Linked DNA regions of Ovis aries. The protein of the gene in region 1 purifies or fractionates together with the protein of each later gene. This does not show direct contact. Links are inferred from orthologs where the notes say so. Each region holds a gene or a part of one and is shown on either strand. Other genes may lie near its edges.

What was found. The genes of interacting proteins can lie anywhere in the genome.
Region 2: the proteins of IRF7 (region 1) and TRIM21 purify together in Homo sapiens (affinity purification with mass spectrometry; 3 studies listed by BioGRID, with this or other methods). This does not show direct contact. The link is inferred for Ovis aries from reciprocal best matches to the Homo sapiens genes IRF7 and TRIM21.

The regions. Positions count from the first base shown.
Region 1 is NC_056074.1:47,073,007-47,077,931, forward strand, and holds IRF7 (interferon regulatory factor 7), read left to right. Parts: upstream 1-1,767; 5' UTR 1,768-1,831; intron 1,832-2,127; 5' UTR 2,128-2,399; coding exon 2,400-2,419; intron 2,420-2,502; coding exon 2,503-2,665; intron 2,666-2,751; coding exon 2,752-2,959; intron 2,960-3,214; coding exon 3,215-3,273; intron 3,274-3,361; coding exon 3,362-3,539; intron 3,540-3,821; coding exon 3,822-4,349; intron 4,350-4,421; coding exon 4,422-4,540; intron 4,541-4,614; coding exon 4,615-4,782; 3' UTR 4,783-4,828; downstream 4,829-4,925. Other genes in the region: CDHR5 (cadherin-related family member 5), read left to right, coding at 218-637.
Region 2 is NC_056068.1:49,571,023-49,575,948, forward strand, and holds the start of TRIM21 (E3 ubiquitin-protein ligase TRIM21), read left to right. Parts: upstream 1-1,591; 5' UTR 1,592-2,294; intron 2,295-2,331; exon of another isoform or gene 2,332-2,463; intron 2,464-2,959; 5' UTR 2,960-2,995; coding exon 2,996-3,403; intron 3,404-3,895; coding exon 3,896-3,991; intron 3,992-4,926. UniProt on the Homo sapiens protein: E3 ubiquitin-protein ligase whose activity is dependent on E2 enzymes, UBE2D1, UBE2D2, UBE2E1 and UBE2E2.

The sequences.
Region 1 (4,925 bases):
GCCGGGCAGCGTGAGGCAGCGGGCAGCGTGGGAGACGGAGGGAGGCTGGTGGTCAGCGTGGGAGATAGGGTGCAGAGGCGAGGAGAGTGGGGTGGGGATGCCACAAAGACTAGGGAGCAGGGCGGAGGGGCAGAGCGCCCGGCCCCCCAGTGTCGGGGGGCAGGGTGGCCGAGCCCAGCTGGCCGCTGGCTGACTGCCGGCTCCTGCCCACCCCCAGAAGTCCCAGCCCCAAGGGTTTGACAACCAGGCTTTCCTCAACGACTCGGACAACGCCAACTGGGTGCCGGCGCCTAGCCCTTCACCCAGCCACGCCCTGCCGGCTCCCCAGGAGCCCGAGCCCCCGGAGCCCGCGCCACCCAGCCCTGAGACCCCGCGCGGGCTCTCAGAGGCCCCTGCCAAGGGCGCGGACGGGGGCAGCCCGGCGGCCGTGAGGTCCATCCTGACCAAGGAGCGGCGGCCTGAGGGCGGCTACAAGGCCGTGTGGTTCGGAGAGGACATCGGCGCCGAGGCCGACGTGGTGGTTCTCAACACGCCCGCCTCGGAAGTGGGCGGCGCTGGCGACTCTGGCAGCGAGGGCAGCGGCGACGAGGCTGCGGATGCCCAGGACGCGCTTGGTACCGACTCCATCCACTTCTAATGCCGCGTCCCCCGGAGTCGGGACCCCGAGAGTCGGCTTGGTGGCTGTCCCCACACTCCACGGCGCAGAATAAAATAACATTTTCGGTTCTGTGGGGACGTCTGCTGGCCGCCAGGGGAGCTGTGGGAGCCGCGAGGGGCGGGCGGTCTGGGCACTGCTTTGAGCTCTCGGCGCCGTTTCCCGGAAACCACCTGCTGCGCGAGGGGCTTCCCAGGGTTGGTGCCAGCTGGTGGCCAGGCAGTTCCTCTCCTGGTCTGACCGCGGCCGCCTCGACATGGAGATTCTTCGTCTGGGGGAAGCTGAGGAGCCACTTGGCCAGAAGCCCCCCTCCGGGACTCGTGTGGGAGGGCGTGGGCCCCGGGACCGCCCCGAGGGTCACACTGCTGCCCCTGTGGGCCGCAGGGAGGGCAGTAAGCGCTCTGGGGCTCTCGCGGAGGCACCCGGTCCAGGTGGCTGGACTGATTGGCGGCGGGGGGTGTGGCCCAGAACGACGGTGGCCACGAGCCTAGTGCGGCACGTGGGGCTGGTGGGTGCGCGGAACAGAGGCTATGGACGGACGGAACCCAGAGTCACGAAGCTGGGGCCCGAACCCCCTCCACTGGCTTCCTCGGGGCGGCCCTCAGGCAAGACTTCCGACCCCCCAGCACCACTACCGTTCTTCCCGGGTCGCCGGTGTTTTCCCATCCCTTCCCAAGTATTTTAATCTCGACAGTATTTGAATATTATTGCCTGAGGAACTGTCACTGGTTAAGAATCCAAAGAGCGCGGCCGCAGCCCCTCCCACGCACCCATCGCCCGCTCTTCCGCTCCGCGATGCGCCAGGTTTTGTTTCTGGAACCCTCGGCTTATCCCACGGCCTCTCCCGGGACGCTGGTTGCTGGCCCCAGGCCCCGCTGCGCTGGGTGAGCGAGGGGAGCGGCTGGGCCGCATCGGGGCTGGGTCCAGGGTTGCCAGGACCCCGGTGCCGCCTCCCGCCGCGGCCCAAGAGCGGGTCCTGCGCACCTGCGCTCGGCTCCGCTCCAGGCGCACGTGACTCCCTCCCCGGCACCTGGAGCTCCGCCCCGGCCCGGCCCCGCCCCCGGCCCCGCCCCGCCCCCGCCACCATAAAAGCGGTTGCTCGCGAGCCCCAGGGGATCAATCTCCCCACGAGTGACTCCGCGTCCTGAGGCTGGACGCGGCCCGAACCTGCGCCAGGTACTGGGGAGGCCCAACCCGGGAAGAACACGAGTGTGAGGCCTCGTCGGACTCCGGGGTCGATTCTCGGAGCAGTGACCAGGGAGCTCGGCGGAAGGCGCGGGTCCGGGACGCGCTTCGCAGAGCAGTGACCAGGCGGGGCGGGCTGCACGGATGACGGCGCGGGGCCCGGGTCTGGAACTCGGGGACCTGGACGGGGAGGTGGCGGTGACGCGCGGGGCGTGGCGGGTTAGGTTTCGTTTTTCCGCAACGCCGGGTTTCGTTTTCCTGCGGCCGTTCCCGTCGCGCCCCCGTAGGGCCCAGCCCGGACGCCGGCTCAAAACCTGTGACGCGTCGTGCGCGCACCGGCCGCGTCTGTAGCCACATCCAGCGCCGTCTTGGCCAGGACTCACCTCCGCAACGCCGTGACTGGAAGCCCGCATCTGTGACCCCCCAACACCCGGGACTAGCTGTGGAGACTCACAGACAACCTTCCTCTCCTGCGCCAACCCCCGACCGCCCCGAGACCCCAGCCCTCTGCGCGGAGGGCGTGCCACTGTCTCCAGGCCCAGCCTTTGCGGAGGGACCAATGGCCGAGGCTCCAGACCGGTGAGCCCGCCTCCCTGCCCGGTGCGGGCCCCACGCCCCCGGCGGCCCCCTTGCGCCCTGACACCTGGCTGCTCCGCCCGCAGGGGAACCCCGCGCGTGCTCTTCGGAGACTGGCTTCTGGGCGAGGTCAGCAGCGGCCGCTATGAGGGGCTACGGTGGCTGGACGCGGCCCGAACGCGCTTCCGCGTACCCTGGAAGCATTTCGCGCGGAAGGACCTGGGTGAAGCCGATTCGCGCATTTTTAAGGTGAGACCCCAGTTCTGCCCGGGCTGGGGAGGGCCGGCCCAGGTTCGCAAGTCCAGGCCACGTGCTCTACACTCTGTCTTTCTCAGGCCTGGGCCGTGGCCCGAGGCAGGTGGCCGCCCCGCAGCGGTGGAGGTGCCCGGCCGATCCCTGAGAGTGCGCTGCGGGCCTCCTGGAAAACCAACTTCCGCTGCGCTCTGCACAGCACGCAGCGCTTCGTGATGTTGGAAGACAACTCGGGGGACCCTACAGACCCTCATAAGGTGTACAAGATCAGCTCTGAGCCGGGGTGCCGAGGTGAGGAAGGCCGGGGTTTGGGGTGCTGCCGGCAGGGGGACTGTGCTGTGTCCTGGGAGTAGCTGCTAAGTCAGATTTTAGGTTTTAGAAACTGGTATGGGAGAAGCTGGTGCCAGTTAGGGGGGGTGGCAGCGCTGGAGTGAAGGGAGCCCGCTGGGGCTCCAAGGGGAAGCGCAGACCAGCTTCCGGGGGCAAGGGGGCGTTGACATCCAGGCGCCTCACTTCAGCGTTTCCCCAACCCTAATTCTCCCCCAGAAGGCCTAGGCTTTGACCAGGGGGAGGACGAGGCCCTAGAAGATGCCCCACCTGCAAGGGTAAGGCCGCTCTGCGTCCGGGGTTGAGGCCGCTCCCTCTCTGGGCCTGGGGGCAGCTCCTTTATGCTGGCGCTGTCCTCTTCTGCAGGGCGGGCTCCCGGGGCTATGCCTGGCAGCAGATACTGGTGAGTGCCTGGGGCACCGGCTGAACCCTGAACCCTGCCCCCCAAGCCTCGCTGGAGATGCTGGGGACATCTTGATCCAGGCTCTACAGCAGAGCTGCTTGGAGGATCATCTGCTGGATCTGATCTCCCCAGAGGCTCCTGGTGAGGGCCTCTTGCAGGGGGTGGGGAGTGCTCTACCCTGCAGGGACAGGCAAGACAGCAGAGTGCAGCCCAGGGGAGGGGGTGCTTGGCAGGGATGGTGCTGGTCACAGCTGGGCCAGTATAGCTGGGCCTCCGCAGGCCCAGAGCCCTCTGCTTGAGAGCTATACTTGCCACAGAGGTGGTGCCTCCAGCCTCAGGCCACAGCCCGAGGAGCCAGGGAACATTTGGCAAAGGGAGGACCTGGGGGCCCAGGTGTCAGCTCAGGCTTCTCTTCCTTTCCAGACGCAGGCCCACCCCCAGAGCCCTGGCAGCTCCCAGAGGCGGAGCCGCACGTGGGAGCCTCTGCCAGTGCCTGCGCGCCGACGGCAGGGGCGCCGCCCCTGGCTGGCCCTGGCTGCTCACAGCTTGGTCTGCAGCCAGAGCCCAGCCTAGGGGCCCTGGACTTGACCATCCTGTATAAAGGCCGGACAGTGCTGCAGGAGGTGGTGGGGCGTCCAAGCTGTGTGCTCCTGTACGGTCCTCCCGGCGTAGCTGGAGAGGCTCTGGGGCCCCAGCAGGTCGCCTTCCCCAGCCCCGCCGAGCTGCCCGACCAGAAGCAGCTCCACTACACAGAGAAGCTGCTTCAGCACGTGGGCCCCGGCCTGCAGCTGGAGCTCCGGGGGCCGCGGCTGTGGGCCCGGCGCCTGGGCAAGTGCAAAGTCTACTGGGAGGTGGGGGGCCCCCTGGGCTCAGCCAGCGCCTCCAGCCCCGCTCGCCTGCTGCCCCGGGACTGTGACACGCCCATCTTTGACTTCGGCACCTTCTTCCAAGGTCAGTGACACCCCTGCCCTTGGGCTGTGGGCCCTCCGTGCCCCGCCCCCTCACCAGAGCCCTGCTCCACAGAACTGGTGGAGTTCCGGGCCCGGCAGCGCCGCAGCTCCCCGCACTACACCATCTACCTGGGCTTCGGGCAGGACCTATCAGTGGGGAGGCCCAAGGAGAAGAGCCTGGTCCTGGTGAAGGTGAGGGGCCAGGTCCCCGGCCGGGGGGAGGCTGCACAGAGCCCCCACCCGGCCTGACAGCACCCTCCCTGCAGCTGGAGCCGTGGCTGTGCCGGGCGTACCTGGAGGCTGTGCAACGCGAAGGTGTGTCCTCCCTGGACAGTGGCAGCCTCAGCCTCTGCCTCTCCAGCTCTAACAGCCTCTACGAGGACCTGGAGCACTTCCTGGAGCACTTCATGATGGAGGTGGAACAGGCTGCCTAGGCCAGAACCCCAACCCCTCCCAATCCAATAAAAAGATCTAAGGGGACCTGGCTGGCGGTCCAGTGGTTAAGACTCCACACTTCCGATGCAGGAGACACAGGTTCAGTCCCTGGTTGGGGAACTAAGATCCTACATGCCACACA
Region 2 (4,926 bases), on another chromosome or scaffold:
TAAGAGAATCTAGGCAGTCTTTTAGTGGCATGATAATGACATTGAACCAACAGCAATTTATCCTCACAAAATAGCTACTATACCAGAGACAGATTCATTTGCCATCTTATATTGCTTCTACCAGCACCACTGTTTTTCGATTTACAACATCAAGGTCTCCAACAACATCACTTACAACCAAGAAACTGATTTTACAGTCAAAAAATTCTGATAATGGGGTTGCACTATGGAATGCAGTGGTCTTACAATGTACATCATCAACCAGAAAAAGATGGTCCAATAAAAATATGAGATGCACTGCTGAAGGCTCAGGTATGGCAGCAGTTTGGAAACCCCACTCTATGATATAAGAATGTTGTACCATAAATTCTGGTGCACATCTAAGATCAACAACTAATAGGTGATGGTATTTTTTATAGCCATTATAAACACACTCTTCAGAGAATAAAGAAGGGAGGTGGTTGCAGCTCCTATTTCCCTCAAACTAGTAACTCATTTACAGATCATTTTCTTTCCATCCCCCAACACAGGGCTCAGCCTTGTTCTAAGGGTCTAGTAAAGAAAGAAGTTCTTCCACCAGAGTAAAAACTCTGATTCTTATAAATAGGAATTTGCCACTACTCCCTGGCTCTTTGAGGTTTCTTGTGCTTGCTGCTGCTGCTGCTGCTGCTAAGTCGCTTCACTCGTGTCCGACTCTGTGCGACCCCATAGACAGCAGCCCATCAAGCTGCCCCTGGGATTCTCCTGGCAAGAACACTGGAGTGGGTTGCCATTTCCTTCTCTGATGCATGAAAGTGAAAAGTGAAAGAAGTCGCTCAGTCGTGTCCGACCCTCAGCGACCCCATGGACTGCAGCCTTCCAGATTCCTCTGTCCCTCGTATTTTCCAGGCAAGAGTCCTGGAGTGGGGTGCCCTTGCCTTCTCCGTTCTTGTGCTTAGTGGCTCAGTTGTGTCCGACCCTTTGAGACTCCATGGACTGTGGTGAAGTATACAACTGTGAACGTATTTAATGCCACTGAACTACACACTTGAAAACGGTTAAGATGGTAAATGTTATACGTACTTCACCATAATTTAAAATAATAATAAAACAACCTGAGAAAGTCCCTGGCTCAAGGATAAGTACACAGTTGTTGCCTCAATAAATGTCAAGTCCCTTCTTACCACTCACTGGTGTGATAATGCGCTGAGGTACTGTGGAATAAATTGCTCTCCCCCTGATGTTAAAAGAATATCAAGTCTCCTGAAAAGGAATTGTTTTTGGAAATAGGGAACAGAAGATGGCCTTTAGAGGAGACCTCCAGGCACCCCTGTCCATCCAAACCTCCTTTAAAGCAGCTCCCACACGAGGGCACAGCACGTAGGCCTGCATGGCTCCTCCACGCAGCAGATACGATGCTTCACTCTATTACACAATGAGGACACGGGAGGGAACGCAAAGCAAGGACTAAAGGCTGCGGAGCTTTCGCTCGCCCCAGCCTCCCAGAAGCTCCAGACTCTGGCGGCACCTCAACCCCTCCGCCTTCCTCCTCCCTTGGCCCCGCCCACTCTCCTCCCGCTCTGCCCGCCTCCCTTTCAGATTTGCGGTGGACAAGGAATCGAAAGTGAAATAAGGAAACGGCTGCCATCCACTGCGTCTCTTGAAAAGGTGAGTGAACTTGGCTAGACCGAGGTACCCCAGCTCTCCCTAGGGGACCTCTCTCCCCTGCCCCAGGTCTGAAGTGCCTCATCCAAGCCGTCCCCACCCCTAGAGATTTCGATCTCAGGTTTTCTTTCGCAACAGGTCTCCCTCAACCTTAACCCAGCAGTTTTTCCCCTGCAGCCTGGGAGGAGGCTGGGCTGTAAACCTGACTGGGATGTCCCCTGGAAGGAGCTCGGATTGCTCTGCTTCCGCCGGCACCTGAGCTGGGAAGAAAAACCAGGGAAACTGGGAGAACCAGGATGGCAACCTAGCTCAGGGGTGGTCCGGGAGCCCGGTGTGGGGGTAGGTCCGCGATCCCTGAGACTGCTGTCCCCAAAAGGCTCCCTCTGGAGGTGAGAGAGACAGGGTTGCTTAGGATATTAGAAAACTATGGGTCTGCGCCCTAGAAGAAACAAAGGCGGGGCCAGGTTCAGGGTAGCTGAGAGAAGAGCCCAGGAAGTTCTTAATAAACCTCACGCTTCTGTGTGTATGCACATACATATATACACACATATACATATGCGTGTGTGTGTGTGCTCAGTCGTGTCTGACTCTTTGCGACCCCATGGACTGTATGTAGGCCGCCAGGCTCCTCTGTCCACGGGATTTCCCAGGTAAGATACTGAAGTGGGTTGCCATTTCCTTCCCCAGGGGATCTTCCCAACTCAGGGATCAAACCTGCTGTCTCCTGTGTCTCCTGCATTAGCAGGTGGATTCTTTGCCACTTGCACCACCTAGGAAGCCCATGTACTTACGGATATACGTGTATCCTTATGAAAATATGTAAGCATAAATATAAATATTCTTATATATATTCATGTTACCGATGATTAGATAGATACCAATAACTCCTGCCTATTGCAAAGATTAATGAGAATGTATGTGAAGCATGTAGCACCTGGCACATGGAACGAGCACAGTCAATGGTCGCTACTGTTAAGATTAGCTTCTCAACAGAGTAGAAAACCAGTGGCCTGAGGCAGAAGATCAATAGGTAAAGCCTGGACTCTGAGCGGTTAAGCAGAGATGAACATGATGAAAGTCGAATTGTAAGCAGCTGTCTCTCAGGTTCTCAACAATATTTGCTATCTCTTGGGGACTCAGTGTCCCCTTCTGTCTGACTGGATCAGTGACCCAGACTATGGAAGAGGAGCACTATTCAGGTTGAGGTCCTTGTCTTTTCTTGTTTTCACTCCCTCCAGTTCACCCTCTCTCGTGGTTCCCTTTTCTTACCTGGCTCTTCTCTTCCGTCCCTTTCCTCTTCTCCCCTCACCGCAAGATCTCCCCAGCACTACCGAAGAGGAGCATCACCCCAATGGCTTCAGCCGTACCCTTGACAATGATGTGGGAGGAGGTCACGTGCTCTATCTGCCTGGATCCCATGGTGGAGCCTATGAGCATTGAATGTGGTCATAGCTTCTGCCAGGAGTGCATCTCTGAGGTCGGGAAAGAAGGAGGTAGCGTCTGTCCTGTGTGCCGGCGCCACTTCCTGCTCCAGAATCTCCGGCCCAATCGACAGGTAGCCAACATGGTGGACAACCTTAGGAAAATCAGCCAGGGTGCCAAGGAGGGCCCACACGGGGAGCTGTGTGTGGTGCACAGAGAGAAAATTCACCTCTTCTGTGAGGCAGATGGGAAGGCCCTTTGCTGGGTGTGTTCCCAGTCCCAGAAACACCGTGATCATCCCATGGTCCCTATTGAGGAGGCTGCTCAGGAGTACCAGGTGAGTCCTCAGCACAGAGGCAGGAACAGGTAAAAAGGAGATGGGGCCCTGTTGATGGCTTTGTTCCCCAGAGCTGGAAATGGGAGAGAGTTACCTGTGGGGCTGGGGAAAGAATAGGGGTCTCCTGCCTTCTATGTCTTATTTAAGGGGGAAATGGCAAGCTCAGCACAGTTTTCTCATTCTCACAGAGCAGGGATGTGCTATGGGAAAATGCTTCAAGAATCTTCTTCCCTTGTGGCCTCCTGCTTAATTAGGAACAAGCAGTGCCCCCACCCTTTGTACACCAACCGTGTGGCCCTATTTTGTAAGAAATATCAGGCTTTTTCCAAAACCTTCCCATCCACAGAGTTCCTACCCCAAACAGACTCTAGTCCTTCCTTGTCCTCTGCACTCAGCCTCTTCTAAGAACCAGTATGATCTTCCCCCCACTTCACACCACTGCACCCTACTTCTTGACCTGACTGGGTATCATCTTGCTTTCGTTCTCTGCAGGAAAAGCTTCAGGTGGCACTAAAGAAACTAAGAGATAAGCAGGAGATGGCTGAGAAGCTGGAATTGGACATTGCAATGAAGAAAGCATCCTTTAAGGCAAGAGTCATATCCTGAAGGGAATCTTAGATCTGAAGCCTGGGGAGGGTCCAGCTATGCCAGTCCCTATATCTCACTCCCCAAGAACCAGCTGCCCCATAGGTCTCTTGATGGAGGGGATTAAAAGAGTGTGGAGATCAAAAAGAGCTCCCAGTCAGATGGAGAGAGAGTCTTAGGAAAAGGTGCTGAGGGACAAGATATATTCTAATGCTCCTGCTTCTTGAGCCCAGTCTCTGGAGATGACAGCCCAGTCTCTGGAGATGGCCTCAGAGTTTGGGACAGGGGAATGCCAGGAGAGATGCCCAATGTCAAGAAATGACAAGTTGTCAAGAAATGACAGTGACTATGAGAACCAGATTTAAGTGAACCATAAAGGCCTAAGATGGGCTTCCCTAGTGGCTCAGATGGTAAAGAATCTGCCTGCAGTATTGGAGACCTGGGTTCAGTCCCTGGATTGGGAAGATCCCCTGAAGAAGGGAATGGCTACCCACTCCAGTATTCTTGCCTGGAGAATCCCATGGACAAAGGAGCCTGGCGGGCTACAGCCCATAGATTCACAGAGTCGGACATGACTGAGCAACTAACGCTTTCACTTTCAAAGGCCTAGGACAGGAAAGCCAGTCTGACCGGGTAGTTACTTGACCATGTCCAGCTCACTGGTCCAAAATGTAATGGAGAGCTACAGCTTGTTCCACCCCAGGGATTAGCAGGTGGGGTGGGCCAGGGACTAGAAAGGAGCAGAAGGAGCTCATGGCCAAGAGATCCCAGAAGAGGTAGACTTGAGACCCAGGAAGGGTAAGGCAGGCTGTGGTGGTATTGAGTGACCCTCCAGTTAGAAGCAGAAGAGGGCAACCATAGACTATCTCAAAGACTCCTTTTTCCCAAACTTAGGAACCAGGTTATGAGCCTGGCTTTGCAGGTTTGTTGGAGTAGGG